Linked DNA regions of Macaca fascicularis. The protein of the gene in region 7 interacts with the protein of the main gene of each other region in a biochemical or structural test. Links are inferred from orthologs where the notes say so. Each region holds a gene or a part of one and is shown on either strand. Other genes may lie near its edges.

Region 1 (4,022 bases), on a different chromosome or scaffold from region 7:
CATTTTTTAAAAGATCACTATTCAAATATTAGTGAATATTTCAACAAGCCCTCCATAAACCCAGCACTGCTAGCCAACATTTATTAAATGCTAATAACGTGCAATGGAGAAGGTTAACAGCAGGGTATGTCATCAACCTGATAAAAGGCTATAATCTGGATCTAGGATTCAAATTCCAATTATATTTGTATTTCACTTAGGAAAAGAAAATCACAAAAAGAGGACTTAGCATTTCAAATGGAGAGTCAGATGGTCAAATAAGCCTACAGCAGTGACAGAAGTGGTTCCCACATCTAAATAACTTCAGACTAATAAAAACCTTATCAGACAGGAGAAATCTTATCAGATGGGGGTATCTTTTCAATTGACATGTCCTAAACGTAAAAGACTTTTTTCAGTCCACATTTTAGATAAGCTAATCTTGTTAAAAGGGCCAAAGGATGTGATGGGAAATTCTGAGCCTCTCATAATGAGACATGTTCACTGGCACGCTTCCCAGTGAGTGCAACAGCAATGAGATGTATGGTGGAGAAATAATGCTACTGGCAATACTTTCTCTTCATTACTTTTCAGGGCCTTACTTCTTTTAGGCTCGACCTAATTTAAATTCTCTCTTGGCTCCTAAGCCTGTAAGTTCATATTAATTTTCACAGTTGTATTCAGCATTTTGCTCCTAAAGAAAGTGAAAACATTAAAGATTCAATTAAAGTCTCTTTTAAAAGAATTTTAACTAATCTTTCTGTCTAGCTACCATACTTGGTAAAACATGCCTTCTATGGCATTTCTAAAATTATGATGATTGAAATTTGAATACATTTCTGAAACAGACTTGTATTTACTTTGTAACAGTAAGATACAGAAAATTCTGCAAGTATTAATTACACTAAGGAACGCAGAGTGTTTTCCTAAAGACAGCTGAAAAGAGCTGCAGTGTGTCTAGTAGAATCTCAGTCTACAATCTTAATAACTCTAGTTCTATGACCTCAGGAATTGGCTTCACCTCGAAACACTTTCTCACCTGAAAAAAGGAATAACACCATCTTTTCCTCCCTCAATGTGGCTGTTCAAATAAAATGAAATAATATATGTAGCACAGTACCTGCCACGAAGTGCTCAATAAATTATTAGTTTACTTCCTTCAGTCAACACAAAAGACACATTCACAAGATTCAGATTTAAGGAAATCTATTTCCACAAGTCCTCACCAGCACAAAATGCTACCGCTAGTTTGCTTTAATAAAAACAATACCGTCAGCGGGGCGCGGTGGCTCACGCCTGTAATCCCAGCACTTTGGGAGGCCGAGACGGGCGGATCACTAGATCAATAGATCGAGACCATCCGGGTCAACATGGTGACACCCTGTCTCTACTAAAAAATACAAAAATTAGCCGGGCGTGGTGGCGCGCGCCTGCAGTCTCAGCTACTAGGGAGGCTGAGGCAAGAGAATCGCTTGAACCTAGGAGGCGGAGGTTGAAGTGAACAGAGATCGCGCCACTGCACTTCAGCCTGGGCAACAGAGCGAGACCCCGTCTCAAAAAAAAGAGAGAAAGAAAAACCGTCACTATCATTTCACTTTTCTAAGGGACCTGAATCAAGATGAGGGAGTCTACACGTGATTCTGCAATAACTCCATTAAGGCTGCATACATAATGACCACTAAATCATTAACAGGAGTCCATAGCAATTGGGCTAAAACATCTGGGAGCATTTATGCTGGTAAAAGAGCTCACTTGGGGGCTAAAAAAAAGTCAAATTAGGCCCAACTCTAAATGGATCTTTAATAAATGAAGAGAGTAATGTTGGTTTATCCTTCCTGAAACGCTAGCAGTACGATATTAAAATCCACTTGAAAGTACAAACTTCAAGACGGAAATACTCCACCAACACTGGTGTCAGTAATCCATTTTAGAAAGCCTGCGCGGAGACCACCATTAGCACCGCTGAGGACAGTTAATGAAAGCCGTTGGCTGCAAACAGAGGCGAGGAGAGAAAAATTATTTCGGTGTTCTGCACACACACGGAGGCGAACCGCTTTCAGGACCTCAGCAGCCACCGCCGCCAACACCGACAAGCATCTGATGGAATTCCCGGTTTTACAATCGAAAGTCCAAAAGAAGGCCATGATACTAGCAAATTGGGGGGTGGAGGCGCTTCCGTTGCCTTCCCGAGGGTCCAGACTTTAAAGGCGGCGCTGCGCCCGGGGCCGAGGGTCCACTAGTCCCGGCCTCCGCCCCCCGCCCCCCACGCTGCGCCCCTTCCCGAGCGACCGCCGGCCCGGGAAGCGCGAGAGCAACACCACCTAAACCTCAACCGGCCCAGGGCCCCGCCCGAGCCCTGGCGCGCGGACCGCAGTGAAGTCCGGGTTCGAGGTCGCCGCGGCGCCCGAGGCCGAGGCGCCGGCGAGGCCGAGGCTGCGTCCGCTGCGGCCCCGGGCGGCGGGGGGGCCGGGCGTGGCCGGGCGCGGACACTCACCACACCATGCCGTAGGCACCCTCGCCGATGTACGAGAGGTTGGTGTAGCGCGGTCCCACGTCGAACACCTGCCCGCGGACCATCTCCGGGCCCGCGCCCGCCGCCGCCGCCGCCGCCATGTTGGCTGCCGGGCCGCCGCCGCCTCCGCCGCGCTGAGCTCGACGCTCGGCGGCCGCCGCTCAGCTTCTATCGCCCCTCCTGAAGGGACTGTGCCGCCGCCGGTGCAGCCGCCGCCGCTGACCGGGAGGAGGAAAGAAGACGCCGTGTGGCAGACCTGAAGAGCCCACGACAACTCGGACCGACTGCCTGCCTGCCTGCCAGACTGACGGGCGGGCCGGCGGGCGGGCGCAGGGAGGGGCGCGCGCCGAGAAGGGTGCCCGGGCGGGGCCAAGCAGCGTGCATGCGGATTGGTTCCTAGCGGCTGGGGGCGGGGCCGCGCGGCCCAGCGGAAGCGGCGGGCTCCGGGAGGGGCACTGCGCGGCGTTGACTAAGGGGGCACCACCGGGCGCGGTCACGTGCGTTCGCGGGGGCGTCGGCGCGGGACTTGTCTCTTCAGACACCCAGGGAGACAGACGTGGGGCAGAACCCACGGGGCTGAAGTGAGAGATGGCAGGGGCCCGGGCGAGCACCCGAGGAAGTACCGAACAGAGCCAGCGAGGGACAAGGGGCTGTGCTTGAGGCCCGACGACGCGCCATAGCCCGGCCGCGCCACAGCTCAGGCCTCTGCGAATCCGTGGTCCACACGCTGATGAACTTAAGAGGCCTTGGCACTGGGGCAGAAACCGAAAGGCATGACCCCAGACCGAGAAAGATATTTGCATACTGAGAAAGTGTGAAACACAATTGTTGAGATTAAAAGGAGACAGAGAGGATACGCGAATCAGGTTGGTTCAGATGTTTGTTGAGCACACTCCATGTTCCTGGGAGTTACTTTTTAGAGAGAGACAGACAGACAAATACGTGTAATACTCAAGTTGTGATAAGTACGTTGAAGAAGTACAGAGCAGAAGGGAGGGTGCGGTGTCTCACGCCTGTCACTTTGGGAGGCCAAGGCGGGCGGATCACTTGAGATCAGGAGTTTGAGACCAGGTCTCTACTGAAAATACAAAAATTAAGTCCGGGCGAGGTGGCTCATGCCTGTAATCCCAGCACTTTGGGAAACTGAGGCGGGCGGATCACGAGATCAGGAGTTCAAAACCAGCCTGGCCAACATGGTAAAACCCCGTCTCTACTAAAAATATAAAATTTAACTGGGCGCGGTGGCGGGCGCCTGTTATCCCAGTTACTTGGGAGGCTGAGGCAGGAGGATGGCTTGAACACGGGAGGCGGAGGTTGCAGTGAGCCGAGATCGCCTCACTGCACTTCAGCCTGGGCGACAGAGCAAGACTCCGTCTCGAAAACAAAATAATAATAATACAAAAATTAGCTTGGCGTGGTGGTGGGTGCCTGTAATCCCAGCTACACGGGAGGCTGAGGCAGGAGAATCGCTTGAACCTGGGAGGAGGAGGTTATGGTGAGCCGCGCCACTGCACTCCAGGCTGGGCAACAG
Region 2 (3,500 bases), about 44 Mb from region 7:
GGCAGGCGCACGAAAGGATTGCAGGCACAGCACGGGCGGCCCCAGGAGCTGAGGCTGGCAGCATGCGGGCAGTCACAGCGCGATGGCAGACAGCGCAGGCAGGGGCGCCAGGGCCACACGTGCCAGGACAGTCCACTGACAGGGTGTGGGGCCAGGGGGCCGAGGGCCAGATGCCTGGGCTCAGGGGGTCTTCACCAAGGGACCAGTGATGTCAGGAGGAACGTGGGGGACTGGGCTGTGGCCGGGCTCACGTGGACTGCCCCAAGCATGGGCCCTGGGCCGCCCGCCGCGGGGACACACTCAGCAGCACAGCACAGGCATCACGGGCGGGGCTGGCGCAGCGCCCGCCCGCGGCCCCAGGCCTTACCCCTACTGGGCATCAAGAGGCGCTTCTTCATGTTGCCTGGCAGCGCCGGGGTGGGAGAGAGGGAGAGAAGACAGCGTCAGCACGCACCGCGGGTGCCCCGGGCGGGGGCGGGCCGGACTCACCGGGCGGGGAGGGCCACACTCACCGGGTGGGGCAGGCCCGGATTCACCGGGCGAGGGGGCCACTCACCGTCCACCCCGTTGTGCTGCTCATAGCTGCGCTTGCCCAGGATGGTGGGGGAGCCGTTGTTGATGACAGGGGCCGCCTTGGCGGGCGTCAGGCTGCTGAGCACGCTGGACACACTCTTCACGGGGTCAGGCTTCGGGGGACGGGGGTGGGTCTCTGCCAGGAATGACAGGCAGAGCGAGTCGCCTCTGCCTGGCAGGGGATAGGCAGGCAGGCCCAGGCTCCAGCCCTCATGGTTCTGGGATACGACCAGGAACCAAGCTCCACGCGGCCCCCACCCCTGAGGCCCCATCCTGACTGGGCTGGAAGCAGGGAGGTCACCACAGAGCCAGGAGCCCAGGAGCACCAAGTGCTCTCCCGCAAGACGTGTGCCCAGGCCAATCCTGCACCTAGAGAGCAGGGAGACCACCTGGCAGGGGCCAGGCCCCTCACCCCCGCACAACAGGATCCATACACAGGCCCGTGAGCACAACACCTATTCAACAGCCCCCATGTCCAGGCCTCCGGAGCTGCTGGTGGAGGGCTGGCTGCTGGTCAGACAGCGAACCGACCATCCAGCCAGCCTGGCCAGGGACACAGCTGCTGAGGACCAGCCCTGATACCAGCCACCTCTTCCCACAGGACAGGGGCCACGACCCCAAACAGGGAGCAATGCCAAAGCCACTTGAATCGCAGAGCACACGTGGTTCATGGCTCTGGAATGTCCTTCTCAGGACAGTCACCCTGTGTCAGGAGAGCAGATACACAAGCCCACTCGAGCCCAGCAAATGGGGGAGGCCCCCCACCGCCACCACAAATGTCTGGCCCAGCCCCCAAGCTGCTTCTGGCTGGGCCAGGGTAGCTGGCTGAGGTTCTCAGGTATCCTCAGACCCTCAAAGATAAGGGAACCCCTGCCTGAGGCTGCTTGCCAGGTGTGCACCTCCCCCTGCCGAGGGCCTACAGAGGCCTGAGTGCTGCCCCTGTGGAGTGGGCATGGCTCGGGAATATGCTCCCTGTAGGCAGCAGGTGCAACCCTGCCTTAGTGGCATTACAGGCAGGGGTGTGCGCTGCCCAAACCCTACACCCTCAGGCTCCAGGGACGATCAGAACACAGGGAACGGTAGCGAGGCTGGCAGGGAAGCCCCCTGGGTGTGCCTTGAGGAGGCTGGTCCCGCAGAAGACAGGGCGGCAGCCACTCTGCACTGGGCCCCGTCAAGACCCCAGGAGCAGAAAGCAGCCGGGGTCCCAGTGGGTCGGCCTGAGCCTGGCACGGGGCAGAGTACCTCAAAAGGACAGTTCCAGGCCCTGTGGGGCTGTCCAGGAGCTCCTAGCTAGAGAAGGCTGGGAGCACCAGTGCATCAGCTTGGGTCAGAAGCTGCCTGCAGGCAGCATTAGGAGCCCCCATCGCGCCTGGACTGCTCACCAAGATACCGGAGCACGGCTTCCAGCGGCTTGCGCACCGCCTGCTTCAGCACCAGTGGGCTCTGGGAGGCTTCGGGCAGCCGCGCCGTGCCTGCGGGGTACCACACAGTGTGAGGGGTGGGGCATCCCCAGGGAGCACGGGACCCTGCCTGCGCCTTGACCTGGGAGCCCTCACTGCGCTCGGCCGTCAGCACCAAGGAGGAAATGGGGCTCCCTGAGATGAGAACTCCCAGTGGGGCTACAGGCTGGGCCCCAAGGTTGCTGTTCCCTCCCCACTGCCTGCAGCAACAGAGTGAGCGGGGCGTTGGGATGACTCACACTCGGCCTTGATGGCCGCGCTGTTGATGGGCAGGTAGGGGTGCCGCGCGGCATGCCATGGGCGCAGGATCTCACGGCACAGGCGCCGGGCGATCCGTGTCAGCTTCGTTGTGTGCAGATAGAAGGCCTGCCTGGTCTTCATGGCGAACTTGGGGCTCCCGCTGCTCCGGGCTGGGAGGCCGTGGGGACTCTGCGGAAGGGGGCATAACCGCCCCGACACAGTGCCATGACCGGGGGCCGAGGACCCGCAGGGCTGACACACTCGCGGCAGGCAGGGCGGATGTCCCCCCCTTACCATGTTACTGCGGTTTGGTCCTGGCCTCTCTCCATCTAACCGGGTTGGCATTTTCAAGCCACCATATTTCTTCCAATATGTCCAACAAGATGCGCAGAGACGACACTGCATGTTAGGGGGACCCCAAGAATACCACTGGTAAGACTGTGTGGCTACGGACAACAAAGTTGGAAATAGACGGATTCTTAAGCAGAACCAGCGATGTCAGAGTATTCCCCACCACCCCCACGCCGGCCGCCCCACCCGCCAGGCACCGCCGCACATTCCCCAAGGCTCTCCCAACCACATCCCTGGGACGCAGCCCCCCATCATCAGTGGGCCCCTCCCAGGCTGGGCCACGCTGGAGCCCTCAGGGCCAACACAGGCACCACGGCCCACAGGCGGGTGTGCGGTGTGCCCCCGGCCATCCAGGGCACTTACTGTAACAGCTCTCGCAGGCCCGGCCAGCGCCAGGGCTCTGGCCCGGTGCTCCCGTGCCATTCACCACACCGGCCTTGACGTTGTTGACGCTGATTTGGTTCGGATTTGGCTTGTTACTTAAAGAGATAAAGGAGAGAAGAGAGGAGTTGCAGGAGCACAAACCTCAAGGGCCCATCTGCCCAGCACGCACCGCGGCTGATCACCCCTCGTCCAGAACCATGTCCTCGCACCCCCCTCGGCCTCAGCAGTTCCTGGGAGCCACTGCTGAGGTCTGAGCTGTTTTCCAGGCCCCCGTGCTCCCCCTAGCATGGAGCCCAGCTCAGGGACTGAACCCTGGCGGTGTGGGTTGGAATCCCAATGCCCCCTTACTGACCAGGAGGCCAGGACGACGGAGACACGGCCATCGCGTCTGCAGCCAGAACCCCCCAGCCCTGCGCCGCCCTCACAGGGGCTGCCCTAACTTTCCCAGCCTCTGAGCCTGAGTTTCCTCGGGACCCGCCTGGCCCCGGCACC
Region 3 (3,990 bases), on a different chromosome or scaffold from region 7:
AAGGGGGCTCTTGCCACCAAGGGAGTGCCCGTGAGGCCTGGAGAAGTCACAGCTTGCCACCTAAGTTCTCCAGGTCATCCTGTCCCTGATGGTAGGTGCAAAAACAGGTAAATTGCCTCCAAAGCGTGTCCTGGCATCAAATTTTGCAGGTGGCCGAGTGAGCTCAGGTGTTTTCCCAGCATTGTCTCTGCTCCTGAGTTTAAAGCTGCTCTCTGAATGCTTCCTGCTCTGGGCCCTCAAGTTGGCCCTGCGACATCCTTAGATCTCAGAGTTGTGCTCTGGACAGTTCCTCTGGCCCCTGAGATGTCATTGCTGGCACTGGAGTGTCCATGGGACAGGCTGGCGCTTAGCTGAGAGCCCCTCGATGGGGTTCGGGAGTGGTGAGGGAGGGTGTGGCACAGGCAGTGTTGGTGAGGGAGGTGGTGGATGTGCCCAGCTGGACGCACCTGGTCATCTGTCCCCTCTCCTGCAGGCCTCCCCCGTGTACAGCTTCAGCTTTCCCCGGAGGAAATTGGAGTAGACTCGGAAGAGTTTGCAGAAAGTGTCAGCAGTGATGGTTCGGAGTGGAGCAGCCGAGGCCGCATCTGGGAGGGAGATGGCTTCCTGCTGCCAAGGAGAAAACAGGTCACTGCAGTACCGCAGAACGGGAAGGAATACGGACAATTCCTGTACTCCTTAGCAAGACCCTTCTCCCCTTCTTACAGAAAGGGCAAGCAGAAGTGTCCGCTCCTACTCACCTGGGCTCCCAGCGCCCGAAGCAGAGTGGTGATGCTGCGAAGGCCACTGATGGCTTTATCCATGTGCAGCTGCAGGGGCTCGAAAGGCTGGGAAGAGTTGGCCAACACAGCCTGGCCCCGCAGGACAGCTTCTGAGAGCAGGGCCAGGCCCTGCCAGACTTCTACAGCCTGCTGCCCGACCTACAGGGAGTGGACTCTGGGAGTCAGCTGACCCACGCCACCCTCTCCCTCCTGCCCCTCAGCAGCCCCAAGCACCAAGCTGAGCAAACAGAAAGTATGCAATAAGACTTGAATAAATGAATGAATGAATGAACGTATTCCATACAGCCCTCATTACTTTTCTTTTTTCTTTTCTTTTTTGAGACAGGGCCTCACTCCATCACTGAGGCTGTAGTGAAGTAGTGTGATCACAGCTCCCTGCAGCCTCAAATTCCTGGGCTCAAGTGATCCTCCCGCTTCAGCCTCCCGAGTATCTGGGATTACCACCATGCACCACCTCTCCTGACTAATTTTTTTAAATGTTTGTAGACATGGGGGATCTCACTATGCTGCCCAGGTCGGTCTGAAACTCCAGGGCTCAAGCAATTCTCCCATCTCGGCCTCTCAAAACCCTGGGATTACAGATGTGAGCCTCTGCGCCCATGCAGCCTCATCTCTGCTGCTCCATTTTACCTTTCCCTCCATCATTCTCCCTTCCATCTTATCAGGCTCGCAAAATGAGATTCTCCAAAAGAAAGGGAAAAAAAAAAAAAAAAGGAACTCACCTCCATCCTCTTCCAGGCATAGAAGTTAACTTTGGTGTCTGGGACGGTGATATTCTCATTCAAGCTGCAGCTTTCGGAACAGCCCATCTGAAATGCACACAGCCCGGGGACTTAAGGGTCCCTGAGGGCTCTAACCCTGGCCCACAGGCCACAGGACCCGCTGGCTTTGCTCTTTGCCTAGTTTCCAGGTATGGTTTGGGGCCACCAGACTTGTTCTTATGTAGGGGGGCAGTACCTAGCTTCCCACCTCCACCCCAAACCAAGTGCCAGGTTCCTGGATCTGGGAGGAGTTCCCTGAAGCCCTGAGTGTGAGTTCTGTGGAAAGTGCTGGGAAAGGGGTCTCACCGTGACATTCTCGGCCTCCTTGGCCTCCAAGAGGTACCTCTCCAGGACTCGGCTGTCACAGATGAGGCGTGGTGGGGCGCCCGGGACTGGGAGGCCCAGAGGGAGCGACAGCAGAGACAGGAGAAGCCACAGCCAGGCAGGACATTCTAGAAGACAGAGTCAGGCTGAGAGTCAGGCGGGGAGGAAGGAGAAGGGTGGCTGTGGGAGGACAGCTTCCTTCATCCCCACGCCTCTGTCCCAGCTCGTCCTTACTGTCCCCAACCATGCAAGCACTCAGGTGCTGTCTCCCTGGCCTTCATTCAATCCTGCTGCGGTGTGCACACCCTACCCCCAGCTACCAGCATCCACTTCTCCGGCCAAACTTCAATCCTGGTGTGACAGAGGCTTTCCCTCGGGCAGATACGGCAGATACGTGGTGGCTCCAGCCCCCAGGTTATCAGCTTATCAGCTTGCTCTCCACTGGCACAGCAGAACCCCCCAAACCTTCTTCCCCTCCACTCCCAAACTGTGTTCCCGTCACAGGTCAGGTTTTTGCCATCCCCAAGGACTCCCCCAAGTCCCCGCTGGCACGTGGAGGCTGCCCCACCCCCTCCCCCTTCCGGGGTCCTTGACAAGTCGCCGGTCCTTGAACCCGGCCACCTCCCGGCTAATAGCCCGGGCGCTAAATCCCCGCTCAAACAGGGACCCGGGTGGGCGGGAGCGCCCAGCCCGCGAGTACTCACCGTGCACCCCCATCTCCGCGCCTGGCCGGGGTCCCTCAGCGACCTAGGGCGCGCCCGGTGACCACACCGGGAGTCCTCATCCCGGGAAGTTCAGCGGGGCAGGGCCAGCCCCACGGGCCTGGAGGAGAGGGCGGCTGTCCAGGGGGCGCGGGATCGGAGCAGAGCCGGCGCGGTGGCCCCGGTCCGGCTCCGGGACGCACGCAGCGAGCGACCGGGGTGGCCCAGGGACTCTGCGGCTCCGGCCGGGGGTCGGGGCTGTTATCTGCATGTGTGCGTGCGCGGGTGGGGGTGGGGGAGAGGCTGTGTGCGTGAGGGGTCGCCAAGGGTAGGGGCCACCCGGGGTCAGAGCAGGGGGCAGGACGCCTGGGTTGAGGCTCGCTGGGGCGTGAGCGGGGCTGCTGCAGACGGCCCGTGCTGGTCATGGGGCCTGCTCCCGGGCCCTGGGTCCCGGGAGGGGAGTGCAGCCGGGTGCGCACCCTCGGGACGGGCGGAGCGTGCTATCTGGGAAAGGCTGGGCTCCTGGACACCTCCCCTGGGGGGCATCCCGGTCTTGGGCGGAGACTCAGAGATGCCTGGGTTGCTGGGTTCCCGCGAAGTACCTGGGTCCGGAAGCCCAGAAGCTTCAGGGACGGGCAAATGGGTGGTCTCCCTTCCCACAATCCCAGGACATGTTCTAGAAACAATGTTAACCATGTTGAGGAATTTGATGGGGGCAAATAGGGCAAGAAATTTGGGGTTCTTCCTCCCTACCCCATTCCTCACTGTCTAGGACTCTGCAAACCCAGACACTTAAGTTTTTTTTTGTTTTTATTTTTCTTGAGGCGTAGCCTCCCTCTGTTGCCCAGGCAGTGCAGTGGTGCCATCTCCACTCACTACAACTCTGCCTCCTGGATTCAAGCAATTATCCTGCCTCAGCCTCCGGAGTAGCTGGGACTACAGGCGCACCTTTACACCCGGCTATGTTTTGTATTTTTAGTAGAGATGGGGTTTTGCCATGTTGCCCATGCTGGTCTTGAACTCCTGATCTCAGGTGATCAGCCCTCTTCGGCCTCTCAAAGTGTTGGGATTACAGGCGTGAGCCACCGCACCCAGCCCCCACCCCAGACACTTAACTTTTAGTGCACAGAGCACACAGTCCATTGTGCAGGCTACACATGCACCTTGACATCTGTTTATTTGACCTGTGGTGTAGGTTAGCTAGGCTGCATGGCCGAGTTCTTAAGAACGCTGAAATACAGCTAACACCAAGAGTGATGGGGGCTGGGATTTACAGCTAAGGTTTTATGGCTTCTGAAAGCCCTGAGCCAGATGGGTGAGATTCCCAGAGCAGGAGACCAAGACTAACTGACCTCTCACACCTTAGAAAGTGGCCTCGTCCTTGAGCCCTCAATGTCCTCATCTGTCAAATGGGTGTGGTGAAAC
Region 4 (4,254 bases), on a different chromosome or scaffold from region 7:
GGACAGGGACAGACAGCAACAGAGGACGGACAAGTGAACTGTGTGCCTGTCTACATCACTGCGCTTGGTCTGGGGCCCCAGACAGACACCAGGAGGCCATGAACCCCACCAAGGCCCATGCTGTGAATGTCAGCAACTCTCGTGAGTTTCTTCAAGAGGGTTCCTGGCAAAGTCAAGAACCACTGTGGCTCCAGGACAAACTCCTAGCTTACAGGTGCACACATTAAGGCCCACAGGGAGGACAAGGCCCCCCCCAAGTCCCCACAAGTGAGCAACCCACTCCACTGAACTGCCTAAACCCAGAAGCCCCCCAGAAGCCTGTCTCCAAACCCACTGTGCTCAGAGCACTGAATGCCAAACCAGGATGCTGCAAAGCCCCGCCAGAGAGGCCCCCACCTGGCCTTACCTTGGTGCGCCCATTGATGACATAGCTGCCCAGCCGCCCTGCGCAGTGGCGGATGACGGCGTCCACGTGGGCCATGAGGGCACCAATGCTTCGGCAGCCTGCTTCATGGCCTTCCACCCAGGCAATCTGGTCCCCACGGATGCTGCGCGGCGGGATCGCCCGCTGGCTCACTAGCTGCCCGTCTCGCAGGCGCCCACCCCGTTTGAGGGCCTCCACCTCGGCCAGCACGCGGCCGCCCAGCGCTGCCCCCAGGAAGCTGTCCTTGACGCAGATGCCGTAGTACCGCATGCAGGGCACGATATAGTCCAGGGCCAGGCGCTCAGGTGCAGAGGGCAGCACCTCCTCCATCAGCCCAGCACTGGCCTCACCACTGCCACTGCTGCAGCCGCAGCTCATGCCACCCTCCCGCTCTGCCTCCTGGTTCTCTTGCCTGGCCCAGGGCCGCTTGCTGGGTGAAGGGGCATCCCCACCATCCTCGGCCCATTTCCGTTTGGGGGCCTCAGGCCGGGCGCCCTGGGCTGCCAGTCGCTGGCACCCCTTGGTGACCAGCGCTGCAGCGCCTTCACTCTGCAGCGGCCGCAGCTCACCACCATCCTGCCCGCCAAAACCGTCCCGAAGGGGGCTGGCAGTGGTAGAGGTGGCTGTAGCTCTGGGAGTCCCACTCCCCGCTGAGGCCTCACCAGGCACTCCTGGACAGTGGTAGGAGGGGAGCAGGGGACAGGGCAGGTAACTCTCCACCCCCATCCTGGCCCGGCCAGGCTCCAAGGGCTCTGACGAAGACCCTGGTAACTGAGGGAGAGCCTGACTTAGGGGCTGCGACTGGCACGGGCTGTCCATGGCAGCAGTGTCTTCATCCCCCGGGCATGGAGGGCACCGCCCGGGCCCATGGTGCCACCCTCCTCCGCCTCCTCCTCTGCCTCTTGATGCAGCTGGGGGCCACCAGGCCTGGCGTGGGGCAGGGTGAGGCAGGGCAGACAGCAAGAGCTCTTCTCGTGCCCTGGGGGTTGCTTGCTGGTCCCCAAGTCCTCTGCCGTCCCTAAGGGCTTGGGAAGGGACCCTTCAGGGTGGCTAGAAAAAAGAAAAGGGATGTGAGAGGAGCTAGAGACAGGCAGGCTAGGGAAAGAGGGGATGGCATGGGCAGGAGTGGGGAAGACGACCAGGACAGACTATAGAGGTCCCCCAAAACCTGGGGCCAAGTCGGGGAGAAGACCCTGAGAATCTGGAGGTGTGAGAGTCCGCTGACAGACAAGGGACAGTGATAGGGAAAGGCTGGAGGCCAGAGGCTGGGTAGACGACCCTAACACAGAGGACTGTGGTGCGGGTTGTGGGACGCGGTAACCAAAGACAGAGAAAGGAGGGCTGGAGTAGAAAAGGGTGGTGTGGAGGAGTGGGAAGGAGGGAGTTTGGAAAATAGGAGGGATCTGCCTCGGCGTTCCAGAGACAGACAGATAAATGTGGGGGATTCTGAGAGAATCAGAGTTGGGGGCGGGGGGGTCAAAAGACAGAGGAAACTGGGGAGTCCAAAGACAAAGAGAACGAGGGACCCAGAGACAGAAAAACAGACCGGAGGGAAGCTGGGAGGGAAGCTGGGAGGGAGGGCCCGGGACGGAGCGGGGCGGTAGGGTCGACCCGAGCCCGACGGGAGGAAGCCGGCCGGGGGCGGACACACGCCCAGACGGAAGGGAGGTCCCGAGACTGACCGAAGGGAGGGGCCCTCGGGGAGAGGGTCCGCGGCGGCAGAGGGAAGGACGGAAGAGGGTGCACGCACCCGGAGACAGGACGAGGGAAAAAGGCACCCTCCTCCGGGGCACCCCCACGCCCCCAACCCCGGGCGGGCCCTGAGGCCACTTTGGAGAGCTGTAGCGACAGGGACAGGGCCTAGGGGCCGCTCGGACCCCCTCCCCTCCCCCTCCCCGCGGCCTCCGCCCGGCGCGCGCTCCCCGCCCCCACCCCAACCCCCCCAACGGCCGGCACCCAACGTCCCCGGCGCGCGTCCCCTCCCCCGCGCCGCACCCACATCCCCCTTACCGGGGTCGCCCTGGCAGGCCCCGGCGGGCGCCCCCACACCCCGCCCTGTTCGTGTCGGCGCCCCGGCTCCGACTCAGTCTCCTCCCGCTCCCTTCTCGCCCCGCGACCTCCTCACCAAGCTTTTTCCTCCGGCCCCGGCGCCGCCGTTTGTGCCAGCCGCCCTGCGCCGCACAGCGCGCCATACCCCGCCCCCACCGCGCGCGACGCCCCGCCCCGCCTCGCCCGTTGGGCACGTGACCGCGCCCCAACGGAGGCAACGGCGCCTGCGCAGACCTGAGCCGCGCTGGGCGAGGAAGTTCGGGACAAGCCCCCAGCCAAGGAGAAAGGAAACAGGGCTCCGTGGCCGACACGAGGTTCATTTGCATCATCCTCCGCCCCGCCCCCTTTGCGCGGGAGGGGGATCGCAGTGTGAGGGGCCGGGTCTGGGAGGGGGCGTTTCCTGCATGTTGGAATCAAGTGGCGTTGGCGGGGCGGAGCACGCAAATTATGTGATTTACATGAACAGGCCCACCCCGCGTTCCCCCCCAGCGCGGGCACCGGGTTCGGCAGCGCGGTGCGCGTGACTTCATTTACAGGGTCAGCTCCTCCTCCTCCTCGCAGCCCAGGAACGGGGGTGAGAGATGGATAAATGGCTGCGCAGTTAGTTGGCAAATGTATGTAAATTCGCACGTCAGTAATTTACATAAGTATCTTTTATAACGGAGGAGAAAAAGTGCGGGATGCCCTTGAGAAAAGGGAACGCGGACTAGAAGGGATGTTGTGCCAATGTGTATTTTCAAGACCCGCTCCGCCCTGCCCCCTCGGGACAATCGTGGGAATCAGAATAAAGAACCAGGGAAAGTCTGGGCAACAGAGTGAGACCTTATCTTTACACAAAATTAAAAAATGAAACAAAAAAAATCCACGGAACGCTACAGAGCTGGGAACATTTTGGGGGACGAAGGAATATAAGGTCATTTTGAATGCCCCGCCCCCTCCACCGTAACTCTGGAGAGCTGGGACTCAAGGCTCCCGCGGGGTCGGTAAGGCGGACGCGGAGGTGGGAGGGCGACGAGCAACTGGGAGTGTCTTCAGGGGGCTGCACCAGTCCCCAGCAGGCCACCTGAGGGCGTAGGGCGGTTCGGGTGAGCACAAGGACATGCATACTGGTATCTACACATGCGTGAGGATTGCACAAAAACCCACAGTCCTCAGGGCACACACAGGGTTCATGGCCACACAAGGGTGTTTCTTGTTTAGTTTTGTTTTTGAGATGGGGTCTTACCCTTCTGCCCAGGCTGAAGTGCTGTGGCACGATCACAGTTCACTGCAGGCCCAACCTCCCAACTAAAGTGATCCTCACAACTCAGCTTCCGGTGTAGCTGGGACTTCAGGTGTGTACCATGACACCTGGCTAACTTTTTCTGTTTTTTATTTTTGTAGATAGGGTCTCTCTGTGTTGCCCAGGCTAGTCTCCAACTCCTGGGCTCAAGTGATCCATCTGCCTTGGCCTCCCAAAGTGCTGGGATTACAGGCATGAGCCACCACACCTGGCCACACATGGGTGTTTAAAAGGAGCCAAATTCACACCGAAACACACACAGACCTCAGAGGCACACATGCACAGGCACACAAGCGGTAGTGAGTCACTGCCTCTGATTCTCAGGCATCAGGCATGCACAGACCGGAGGCCCACCTATAGGTCCAAATTCCCATCCCTTGGCCTTGATGTCCCAAACAATACCAGCCTCACCAATACACTCACCAATACAATCACCAAGGCCACAGAGCAGTTACAGCTATCAGCATCACACACAACCAGCACACATTCCTATAGACAT
Region 5 (3,500 bases), about 28 Mb from region 7:
CAAAAATAAGCCACAAAGCCTTTGGCATTCACAAACCATAGTAAGCCATGGCAAGCAGCGATCAATGAGACATATCACCCTGAGGGAGAGGACTGTGTGGGAAATCTCTCTTGGGGATGGTTTTATATCCTACAGTTCTATTTTTGTGGAACTTTCCCAATGCTGCTTCTGGGAGGGAAAAGTGTACATCTTATTCTGCATTGAGAGTCAGAGCAACTCTGATTTAAACTGAAAAAAATTAATCATTAATTCTAATATCAAATTACCTTCTCTTCATCAACCACCCTTCTCAGAGGTAGGGTTAATAATCACCCTACCTATCCCCCTTCAAATTAACTTCATTATTTTCTTCTTAACAACTTTAGTACTAATTCCACTGTCGCAGGAGGTTATGAAGTGGAAATAGAAATGTTTCATCAGTGGGAGATAGGGCAACTATGAACCCAATATAAACTCTCCTCTAAGTTATCTGAATCATTTTCCTATAGTTTTTAACCCCACACTCTACTCCCATTATTCAAGAGTACCTTGGCATCCCAATTCTTGTTCAGATAGTAGATGCAGGTGATGCAGCGACCATCACCGTTGGGGTTGTCCACATGGCGAACATAACCTGTTCCATTTCCCGGATAGCAAGCCACCATTGCCTATGGAGAAATCCCAAGAAAGCTGGTTAACAAAGCTGAGACAGACAATCTTCTCCTCCCACTGGTGAGCAGATAAGTAACACAGTCTCCTTGGGTGCTATGTGACATTTACAGGTAGTTGCTGGCTTCTTAATTTCATGTATGGTACATAAATTTGGACCCTTCTGTGCATAAGAGTAATGGCCAGGTCATACTATGGCTCTGTCCAGTAGAAAGTAGTTCAACAATATTCCCAAAGTTCTAGAACATTTTACACAGTCTTTCTTAAAGTAACCTAACTACATGCCCTATTTGCATAACCTATTTGGATGCCCTGCCTTTCTTCAATACTCGTTTTTAGAAAAGCAGTTTCTAGTTTCCCATGCTAGACCTACAAAATCAGAGTCACTAGGTGTGGAGCTTAAGGATTATGACTGTTTAGCAAGTGCCCCTGAATCACTCACACTGTTTCAGAACAATGGCTAAAGGTACTTGCATACACAAAGTGACAGAACCAATCACCAAAGGAGGAAAAGGTCAGGCTTACTCAATAAAATGCTTAGGATAGAAGGAACAGAGGAAGATCAATAGGAAGCCACGCCCTAACTTGTTAACAAAGACAATACAGGGAGATTCCTTTCAGGAAAAAAGCCATGCATGTATCTTAATATGTGTTTCTTAATGCATGTCTTCTTCCTAATAATTATCAAATCAGGTGATAATCTGAAGCTCTCTTTGTCTAACTGCTACCTGTATCAATCAGGTGGAGGAATAAAGTAGAAAGCCATACCAAAAATCCTACTGAAAATTACTATTAGAGAAAACAAACCTCTAATTGTTCCATGGGAAAAACTGTAACAGAGAGTGGGGAGAGGGAAGAAGGCAAAGTACAGAAAGCCAGTTCTTTTCTTCACAGGATACTGCCATGTTTTAACAATATTTTTTATAGGGATGCAGTAGGTGCAAGGAAAATATTGGAACCAACAACATAAGATGAGAACAGGGAATTTTTTTCCTATTCTACTCACTGATGTATTCTTAGCACCTAGGACAGTGCCTGACATATAGAAGGTATCCATCTAAAATGTGATAAATAAATCAATGAACTAGTGAATGGCTCTTTCTCTAAAGAGTAAATTCACGTTTTACCAAGATCAATAGCTATTTCTGTCATTTTAAAAGACCTATCTTCAAACATACATGTAAGGATCCAGTCCATAGATTTCCTGATAAATGGCAGCATTGCTTCATCGGTAAAATGACCATTTGAGTACAGCCCCAAGCTAATGGGCTAGTGGTTCAATGAATCAACTTGAACGTGGCTGCCGAGTCACTCTCAATAGTAGCATGAAACTACTGCTCCTATGACATGGAACTAGGCATCACACACCTTGCATACTAGATCGTGCATACCAGATCGACAATAAGGCTGAATAGTAACTTGACTTCACAACAATTTTAAATCTTAAATCACCATCTCCCTCAAACTCCATATCCTCATGCAGCAAACAATCCCCATATCCTGCCTTTGAACATGAAAATGTCAATGCAATGTCATCCTTAGAGCTCAAGTTAGGCTGTTAGCTTGAGCATCTTTCAGAAGGTGAAACTGTGAGGCAACATCAGCAATAAAGGTTTAACAAATGAAGGTACCACTAAGCAAAGCATGGCTTGAGGAAGGGTGATTGGTAGCAAACAGAATTGAAGGGCCTAGCAAGAGAAGAAGAGATAAATAAAGTCACCTATAATGACTACAGAATTACCCACCCCTGGAAGCAGCTATTAGGATTATAAGAGCCACCACAGAGCCAATAATGAAAGTCGCTTAAGCCACAAACAATTACAGGCTGGATTCACTATTATCTCACGCTCCCCCCACTGAGTGTGTCTGAAAAGAAAAAGTACGACATCAATGCTATAATCTTATATGCTGAAACAGCTCTTCTCTAAGGAAAAGGTCAGTGGTCTGGATGCCTACCATAGTTCACTCTGCAACTAACTGTGATCCCAGGCTGTCTCTTTCCTATAAAGAGGGGATTGGGTTACACATCTGTCAAAGGCCCAAGAAGATCTAAGACTTGATCTAAGCATCAACCCTTGAAAAAGCAACATCGTTCTTCAGGTCATTAAGGAGTGTTTCTCTGCCTCAGAACTCAGCTCAGATTAAAATATTGGGGAAAAAAAAAAAAAAGATGGATACAAACTCACAAAAGTACACCCTCTACTAAATGCTGCATCTATAAAACACACAGAGACAAACAGCCAATTCCAGAGGACTTACTATTAGGACAAAACCCCTACATGTCAGCAAAGTATCTGTCTGCTTAAGAGGGAGGAACAGAGATAATTTTTCTGGCCAGAGTGAATATTCACCCTCTCTCCTGGTTCCAGAAACCACATGCATCAAGTTGGAAACAATGGAAGGAAATCATTTCAAGCATCAGTGGGCCAGTTGAGGCTACATTCGGCCAATTTTATCAGTGTGTTTTCTGGATGAGTGCCATAGGAGATGGGTCTTTGCTTGGGCACATTCCCAACTATTTGCTCGTCTTTGACAGGGTCTAAAACCATGAGGCTAAGGATGCACCAAGAAGCAAGCCTGACTTCAATAACTAGCCATTCACTTCTGTGCCAATTTGTGCACGGGGCAGTAACAAACTCCGGAAGCAGATCCGTCCAACTGAGTTGCTATCTAAACCTCATCAAGCCGGGGAAGGGATTTAGTGTTTAACAGAAGAGAAGTCTTCAATGCTGTATTGTTAAAAGAACGGGCCAGAACAATTTAATGATCATATAACAAACATGCCAAGCAATAAACTGACACATGTCAAGAGGATGCCTACTTTAGTACAGGCTTTTTTATTTTCTAAAACT
Region 6 (4,022 bases), about 41 Mb from region 7:
TTCAGGAGAGATGGAGTTTCACCATGTTGGCCAGGCTTGTCTTGAACTCCTGACCTCAAGTGATCCGCACACCCCGGGTTCCCAAACTGCTAGGATTACAGGTGTGAGCCACCATGCCCAGCCAGAAGTATTTCTTTAATCAGTGACAGTGATTATTTTTCCTATCTATACTTACTCAGATATTCAGGGATTAGCTCCTCACAGTTATCCATGATGAAAACTCTGCGTACATACAATTTGATGTTGTTCTTTTTCTTTCTGTTTTCAAACAGGTCAAAAGGAGCACGTCGTGGGACAAATAGAAGGGCTCTGAATTCCAACTGCCCTTCAACTGAAAAATGCTGTAATAGAACAAACACACTAAGTATCAATGAACAATGCATTATAGCAGATATTTGGGGTGGTGGGATGATAATCTAAAGACAAGCTTGAAGCATCCATCAGTCCCTCACTCACCTTCACTGCCAAGTGATCTTCCCAGTCATTGGTCAAGCTCTTGTAGAATTCTCCGTACTCCTCATTAGTAATATCGTCGGGATTTCTGGTCCAGATGGGTTTTGTTTTGTTGAGTTCTTCTTGATCGATGTACTTCTCCTTAATCTTCTTTTTCTTCTTCTTGTCACCATCCTTCTTTTCTTCTTCTTCCTCATCAGAACCAACATCTTCAATTTCAGGTTTGTCTTCAGACTCTTTCTCTTCTTTTTCTTTTTCTTCTTCTTTGTCTTCTTTTTCTTCAGCCTCATCATCGCTGACTTCTTTATCACGTTCCTTCTCCACCTTCAAAAGACATGAAATCGCATCACTGCTGCACTCTAGAACTAAGTCATAGCGCTGCCCCACTACTTTCAACCTAAGGCCAAAGCCTAAATTACCGAGGATGAGAAGCAGCCAGGCAGCTTCTCATCAATATTTGATATATCTACTTAATAACCCGAGGAACCTTCACAGTTAGTAGAGCTTAGGTTCCCCAGGCTTCAGACTAGTTCAACAGACCTAGGAACTAAGGATGTAGTACAGTCACCCCAGTCACCTACAGACAGTAATTCACTCTGCAATTATGTAGAAACTTACAAAAAGAGTAATGGGATATCCAATAAACTGAGAATGTTTCTTCACAATCTCCTTTATTCTTCGTTCCTCCAAGTACTCAGTTTGGTCTTCTTTCAGGTGTAGGATAACCTTTGTTCCACGACCCATAGGTTCACCTGCAAGAGAAATAAGGAAAATTGACTCAATAATACATTCAATTTAGTGCTCAACGCCATGCTTAACCCTTATAACGTGTCTATGAAGCGAGGTTTGCCCTTACTACAGATGCAAAGGCTCCCACAGCAGATCTAAGTGCCTTGCCCAAAAGAAGTAATCACCAAGTCATGCCATTACACACTAATTCAGAGCTCTAGCTTGTTCCTGATCCTTGGGTAAACACACTTTCTGTGAACTTCGCCGCATCCCCAGGGGTCCAAGGGTTGCAACACCCCACCATTCCGCCACTGACTTAACCAGTGAGTGTTCAGGTACCTACCTGTGTCTGTCCTCACTGTAAATGATCCCCCTGCTGAGGACTCCCAGGCGTACTGCTCATCATCGTTATGTTTGGTGATCACAGTTACTTTCTCAGCAACCAAATAAGCAGAATAAAAACCAACACCGAACTGGCCAATCATGGAGATATCTGCACCAGCCTGCAAAGCTTCCATGAACGCTTTGGTCCCAGACTTGGCGATAGTACCAAGGTTATTGATCAAGTCAGCCTTGGTCATCCCAATTCCAGTATCCACAATAGTGAGGGTTCGATCTTGTTTATTTGGTATCAGGTTAATATGCAGCTCTTTCCCAGAGTCTAATTTACTGGGATCCGTCAAGCTCTCATAGCGGATTTTGTCCAATGCCTATTAACACAAAATATTAATTAAGCATACAGCCCCCAAGAAGTTCATATTGAAACCAAAATCCTATTCTGGGTTAATAAACGACTTACATCTGATGAATTTGAAATTAGCTCTCTTAGAAAGATCTCTTTGTTCGAATAAAAAGTATTGATAATCAATGACATCAACTGGGCAATTTCTGCCTGAAAGGCGAACGTCTCAACCTCCTCCTCCTCCATCGGTTGGTCCTGGGTCTGCGTTTCCTCAGGCATCTGGAACGACACCGCGCCGGTTTAAAACCCTGCAGAGCGTCTACAGGGGCAACACGAGATTCCATCGCGTCCTCCCAATATTTTTAAAGCCGGATTGCAGATTTGCGAAGTTTAAGTAAACCGAAAATAGAAGGGCGGCTGACAAAGGATGACCTCATTTCGGAGCGCGGTAACTACCACGAGCGTGTGCGCGCTTCCGGGAGGCCACTGCAGGCCCGGCCCAGTCCCGCGCCGCGGTCCCCAACCGACACCCCGTGTGCTCTCCCGCGCGGGCCGCGGCTCCGCCAGGGCGGCCTCCTCCGCCTGCGCCCCAGCTGGGCCGCCCGGGGGGCCCCCAGCCAAAGGGCCGCTCTGCTCGCGTGCGGCGCCAGCTCCGGGGCTGCCGCGGAGCCTCGGGGAGCAGCCGCCCAGCCCATTCCTGAGGCGGGCTGCGGAGACAGCAGCGGGCCCACGGCCTCCGGAATAGGCAGCGCGGCCTCCCGGGAGAGCGGCCCTGGCGGGTTCAGGGCTCCCGTTCGGCCCCCACAGCCTCCGCTCCGCGCCAACCGCCCCCACTCCCCAATCCACCTCCACAGGCCCTCACAACCGCCCCTCACACCTTGGCTAAAAGGCTGCAAACGTTCCACCGCACAGCAGCACCAAGACGCTGAAGCAACTGACGCGCCGCCCCCGCGCCTGCCTTATATAGCGACGGGCCCGCCCAGCGCGCGGCGCTTTTTCCAGAAGCCTCCCGAACCTTCCGGAAGAACCCTCCCCAACCGCCGCCGCGGCCGCGCGCCTGCGCCTGCGCCCTCGCCCTCGCCGTGGCCCGCCCCTCCCGCTGGCGCGCGCAGGCCCTGCTCGTGGCCCAGCCCGGGAAACCTTCCCTCAATCACCGCCCCGCGCCTCTCGCACGCCCCCGCGCCGACCTCAATGCGCCTGCGCGGCCTGGAATTCTCGGGAAGGTCCGGGCGCCTTCTGGGGCCGCCCGCGCTCTCTTCCCTGCACTCCCACCTGCCGAGCGCGGGCGGAGGGCACGCCCGGGCGTGGGGGCCTTTGAAGTGAGGTGTAGTTTGGTCACCCGGGCTGCGCAGAATGCGGGGCTGGGGCGGGAGGCGCGCCTGGAGGGAGGGCCGTGCGTGGACGGGGAGCGCCCCGGGTCTCGCACGCCTGGGAAACTACCGGAGCCGTCATCCTCACGGACGGCGCGCCCGCTGCCAAAAAACCCAGCCGCAGGCGGCGCCGGGATCGCGGGGCTCTGCTCCCTGGGGGCCTTTGGGCTGTTGGCTTCTAGCTGCTGCGCGCAGGGGACGCCGTCCCGCGGCCTGCGCGCTCGGGGAGTCTCCAGACCCACTGCTGGCTCAGGAGCGCTCCCTACCTTTGGGTTCCCCGGAAGCCATGTCCTTCACACTTCAGGATCCCTTAGCTTGGGAATCGGGCCCTTGGTGAATAAATTCATGCTTACCCAGCTACACCCGGCATGCTTTTTAAAAGCCCATCGTTTTGCCGATCGATTTGAGGTCTCCAAATTAAGTATCTAACACTTGACATTTTGGTGATTAACCTTCCCTAAAAGACAGGTTTGGTGTTTTTTTGTTTTTGGACAGGCTGTCCCTCTGTCGCCCAGGCTGGGGTGCTGTGGCACAATCTTGGCTCACCGCAGCTTCGACCTCCCGGGCTCAGGTGATCCTCCCACCTCAGCTTTCCGAGTAACTGGGACGAGCGCGGGCGGAGGACCACAAGCGCGGACACCACACCCGGCTAGTTTTTGTATTTATTTGTATAGTTGGGGTTTCACCATGTTGCTCAGGCTGGAAGAACCAGTTTCTACATGAGAATTTTCAGATATTTTGGTCAAGGCCAGCTATGAGAACCTTGGAGGTGTTGGGGATCCTTAGAC
Region 7 (3,500 bases):
CAGAGACCATTATCCTAAGTGAGATAACCCAGACACAGAAAACCAAATGCTGCATGCTGTCACTTGTAAGTGGGAGCTAAACATTGGGTTACTTGTGGACATAAAGATGGCATCAACAGACACTGAGGACTACTAGGAGAGAGGGGCAAGGGTTGAACAACTGTTGGGTATTATGCTCACTATCTGGGTGACAGGATCAATTGTACCCCAAACCTCAGCATCACATGATATACCCATGTAACAAACCTATGTATGTATCTCCTGAATCAAATATAAAAGTTGAAATTAAAAAAAAAATTCCCAGTACAAGATAATTTGACTAATTTCAGTTAAGAATTTCAGATATCTAGACTGGGCACAGTGGCTCATGCCTGTAATCCCAGCACTTTGGGAGGCTGAGGCAGATGGGTCGCTTGAGCCTGGGAGTTCAAGAGCCTGGCCAACATGGCAAAACCCTGTCTCTACTAAAAATACAAAAAATTAACCCGGTGTGGTGGTGCACGTCTGTAGTCCCAGCTACCTGAGAGGCTGAGGCACGAGAATTGCTTGAGCTCAGGAGGTGGAGTGAGCCAAGATCACGCCACTGCACTCCAGCCTGGGCGACAGAGTGAGACTCCGTCTCACAAAAAAAAAAAAAAAGAAAGAAAGAATTTCAGATATCCTTTGGGAAGAGTGATGATGACAAGGCAATTTGTAGTCAAGTACATGAAGGACACCAACAAATCTTCAGAATTGTTGTGCTGACACACGTTATGAAATTGGCACAAAAGAACTCTTTGGCATCAATATATGAGGCATGATCTAAGGATAGTCCTAAGAGAGGGGCCATATTTTCTTTGGTGGTAAGAACATAAGGTGATACCACCTACAGGACAGGGTTGAAGAGGGATGATGAGCAGCAGTTTATCTTCACGAGTGGCTTAAATGTAAATTACTCCTTTAATTAACATATTAAATGTTCACTATCTGAGATGAACTGAGAATGCAAAGATTAACCTTAAGAACCAAAGATTGACCTTAAGAAATTTATAACCCAGTGTGAAAGTAGATATGTAAACAATTAAAATACACTGTGATAACTGCTAAAATAGAGAAGGCTTGCTTCACTGAGAAGCTAACGAGCTGGTACTTGGGATCAAGTGGCATTTGCTAGGCAGACTGGGGTGTGAGGAAGAGAAAGACATTCCAAGTGGAAGATTCATACATAATGGTAAAGTCACAAAAGAACTCTGTGGCACTAATATAAAAACATTAAAGGATGGTGTCAGAAGTGGCAAAAATAAAAACTGGCCAAAGTCTTCCTAAGAGGGGTGACCCTAGATTTTAAAGGGAAGGCTAAATCTCTGATGCATGAGTATGATGGTAAACAAGGATGCTATACACCTAGGCAAGTGTTTATCTTGGAAGTGATAAAAAGATCACTAAAATTCTAAGGAAAATAAGATGATGAGATATCCACACTAGAAAGCTTAGCCTGGCAGTAATGGGCAAGGTGGACTAGAAGGTGGTAATAATGTGGACAGGTAGACTAGATGGGGCAGGAGTCTGGTAAAATAGATCAAATTAAAGATTAAATTGTGATGTACATAATATTCACAAGCCAAAGAGCTAAGTGAAAAGTTCATGAATATACAAGAGCCATGTATTACATCATACAGCTTATTAATCTCATAGAATTTCATTTACTTTTCATTATAACCTTCTGAACGATTATCTACATAGATGAAATTCAGAAAAATGAAGAGACTTCCCCAAGGTCAGGGAGCTAATGAGTGCTAGAGCTATGATACAAACGTAGGTCAGTATTCTTCCTACAAAAAGAACAGAGCTGTCTTGAGATAATATATGCCAATACCTGTATAAGTAGACCAAACCAGTCGATGGATCTGGTGTTTTTTTCATGGTCTTTTTAAAAATAGGAGTGAAGGTATGGGGATAGACAACTACTGACAGTATTTAGTGGTATCACTGTAGAATAGCTGGACTGGAAACCTAGGTCAGAGTACAGAAAATAATAATTTGGTAGAGATGTAAAAGAATTAAAATTTGGCCGGGCGCGGTGGCTCAAGCCTGTAATCCCAGCACTTTGGGAGGCCGAGACGGGCGGATCACGAGGTCAGGAGATCGAGACCATCCTGGCTAACACGGTGAAACGCCGTCTCTACTAAAACATACAAAAAAGTAGCCAGGCGAGGTGGCAGGCGCCTGTAGTCCCAGCTACGTGGCAGGCTGAGGCAGGCGAATGGCGTGAACCTGGGAGGCGGAGCTTGCAGTGAGCTGAGATCCGGCCACTGCACTCTAGCCTGGGTGACAAAGCAAGACTCTGTCTCAAAAAAAAAAAAAAAAAAAAAAAAATTAAAATTTAGTTAATATTTATAATCTTATCTTCCTATAAATGAACAGAGTATCCAAAAAGAATCACTATTTATTCCCCAAAAACGTTTATTTCTCAAACTTACCTCACAACATAATTCACACATACAATGCACTGTGGTTGAGAGTTCTTGGTGTTATATATAACAGTTGCTTGAGTTTCAACCCAGACATATCCACCTCTTTTGGCAAGCATCCTGTACTGTCCTGTGGTGACTTGTCCTTTAGTAAACACTAGGGGGGAAAAGGAAAAAGAATCATGCAAAGAAAATATTGTAACTTTGAATTTTCAATTAAATGAACAGATGCTGAATGTTGATCATTGTTTTAGAAAACAAATGTTTATTTAGTGGAATCAGTTGTAACTGCTTAAATTCAGACAGTGTGTCCCAGAATAGCTGAAAATATACCCATTTCCTTTTTCAAATCCCCTAAATAAAACTCCTTTGCTGCCAATGAGCTAAGTGAAGAGTTCATGAATATACAATCTTCAGTAACTAAAATTCCTTTAATGACTTAGGTTGAAAGTGTAAGATTAGAGAATAATCAGTAGCCTTTTTCAAGAAAATGGTGCCACAATAACTTCCTTAAATTCTGACTAAAGTTTCCAGAGAACCAAAGATACTTTAAAAAGCTGTACGTAGCATATTTAAATATAAATTGATACCACATTGTAAGTCTTTCGGCAATTTAGGCAATTTAAATTAAATATTGATTTGGGAGAAAGTACTGAATAAATCCTAATGATGGTATTATTTTGAGGATTGGGGGGTCCTGACTGCAGACTTGGATTTACTCTTGAGTTCAAGGCTCATCAATCACACAAACTCAGTGATATTCAGGTATCCTCAATCACAGTCAGAAGTCATGCATAGGTACAGATTAAACAGGTGAGATAGTCCAAAGTTTAACTTACCTTGGGATCTTAACATTCATTTGAGTAAAATTCAGAATCAAATCTTATGTCAAAGGTACTTGTTAAGGGTGACTATAGTCAAAAACAATTTAATCGTACATTTTAAAGTAACTAAAAGAGGCCAGGTACCAGGGCAGGTGGATAACCTGAGGTCAGGAGTTTGAGAACAGCCAGGTCAATATTGCGAAACCCCGTCTATACTAAAAATACA

What was found.
Region 1: of the proteins of HIF1A (region 7) and MAPK1, one has a biochemical effect on the other in vitro, tested with the Homo sapiens proteins (3 studies listed by BioGRID). The link is inferred for Macaca fascicularis from reciprocal best matches to the Homo sapiens genes HIF1A and MAPK1.
Region 2: the proteins of HIF1A (region 7) and MTA1 form a complex in vitro, tested with the Homo sapiens proteins (2 studies listed by BioGRID). The link is inferred for Macaca fascicularis from reciprocal best matches to the Homo sapiens genes HIF1A and MTA1.
Region 3: the proteins of HIF1A (region 7) and EPO form a complex in vitro, tested with the Homo sapiens proteins (2 studies listed by BioGRID). The link is inferred for Macaca fascicularis from reciprocal best matches to the Homo sapiens genes HIF1A and EPO.
Region 4: the proteins of HIF1A (region 7) and EGLN2 form a complex in vitro, tested with the Homo sapiens proteins (3 studies listed by BioGRID, with this or other methods). The link is inferred for Macaca fascicularis from reciprocal best matches to the Homo sapiens genes HIF1A and EGLN2.
Region 5: the proteins of HIF1A (region 7) and EGLN3 form a complex in vitro, tested with the Homo sapiens proteins (5 studies listed by BioGRID, with this or other methods). The link is inferred for Macaca fascicularis from reciprocal best matches to the Homo sapiens genes HIF1A and EGLN3.
Region 6: the proteins of HIF1A (region 7) and HSP90AA1 form a complex in vitro, tested with the Homo sapiens proteins (4 studies listed by BioGRID and IntAct, with this or other methods). The link is inferred for Macaca fascicularis from reciprocal best matches to the Homo sapiens genes HIF1A and HSP90AA1.

Annotation. Positions count from the first base shown.
Region 1 is NC_088384.1:31,257,621-31,261,642, reverse strand, and holds the start of MAPK1 (mitogen-activated protein kinase 1), read right to left. Parts: upstream 2,801-4,022; 5' UTR 2,593-2,800; coding exon 2,474-2,592; intron 1-2,473. UniProt on the Homo sapiens protein: Serine/threonine kinase which acts as an essential component of the MAP kinase signal transduction pathway. MAPK1/ERK2 and MAPK3/ERK1 are the 2 MAPKs which play an important role in the MAPK/ERK cascade.
Region 2 is NC_088381.1:173,653,187-173,656,686, reverse strand, and holds part of MTA1 (metastasis-associated protein MTA1), read right to left. Parts: intron 3,104-3,500; coding exon 2,988-3,103; intron 2,720-2,987; coding exon 2,568-2,719; intron 2,463-2,567; coding exon 2,273-2,462; intron 2,046-2,272; coding exon 1,956-2,045; intron 710-1,955; coding exon 557-709; intron 404-556; coding exon 368-403; exon of another isoform or gene 1-367. UniProt on the Homo sapiens protein: Transcriptional coregulator which can act as both a transcriptional corepressor and coactivator. Acts as a component of the histone deacetylase NuRD complex which participates in the remodeling of chromatin.
Region 3 is NC_088377.1:49,317,185-49,321,174, reverse strand, and holds the start of EPO (erythropoietin precursor), read right to left. Parts: upstream 2,801-3,990; 5' UTR 2,582-2,800; coding exon 2,569-2,581; intron 1,993-2,568; coding exon 1,847-1,992; intron 1,589-1,846; coding exon 1,502-1,588; intron 918-1,501; coding exon 738-917; intron 607-737; coding exon of another isoform or gene 604-606; coding exon 451-603; 3' UTR 1-450. UniProt on the Homo sapiens protein: Hormone involved in the regulation of erythrocyte proliferation and differentiation and the maintenance of a physiological level of circulating erythrocyte mass.
Region 4 is NC_088393.1:47,914,023-47,918,276, reverse strand, and holds the start of EGLN2 (prolyl hydroxylase EGLN2), read right to left. Parts: upstream 2,801-4,254; 5' UTR 2,708-2,800; intron 2,622-2,707; exon of another isoform or gene 2,435-2,621; intron 1,475-2,434; 5' UTR 1,244-1,474; coding exon 407-1,243; intron 1-406. UniProt on the Homo sapiens protein: Prolyl hydroxylase that mediates hydroxylation of proline residues in target proteins, such as ATF4, IKBKB, CEP192 and HIF1A. Target proteins are preferentially recognized via a LXXLAP motif.
Region 5 is NC_088381.1:101,740,303-101,743,802, forward strand, and holds part of EGLN3 (prolyl hydroxylase EGLN3), read right to left. Parts: intron 648-3,500; coding exon 528-647; intron 1-527. UniProt on the Homo sapiens protein: Prolyl hydroxylase that mediates hydroxylation of proline residues in target proteins, such as PKM, TELO2, ATF4 and HIF1A. Target proteins are preferentially recognized via a LXXLAP motif.
Region 6 is NC_088381.1:170,187,694-170,191,715, forward strand, and holds the start of HSP90AA1 (heat shock protein HSP 90-alpha), read right to left. Parts: upstream 2,801-4,022; 5' UTR 2,742-2,800; intron 2,144-2,741; coding exon 1,982-2,143; intron 1,893-1,981; coding exon 1,526-1,892; intron 1,206-1,525; coding exon 1,072-1,205; intron 778-1,071; coding exon 457-777; intron 342-456; coding exon 176-341; intron 1-175. UniProt on the Homo sapiens protein: Molecular chaperone that promotes the maturation, structural maintenance and proper regulation of specific target proteins involved for instance in cell cycle control and signal transduction.
Region 7 is NC_088381.1:129,572,753-129,576,252, reverse strand, and holds part of HIF1A (hypoxia-inducible factor 1-alpha), read right to left. Parts: intron 2,608-3,500; coding exon 2,460-2,607; intron 1-2,459.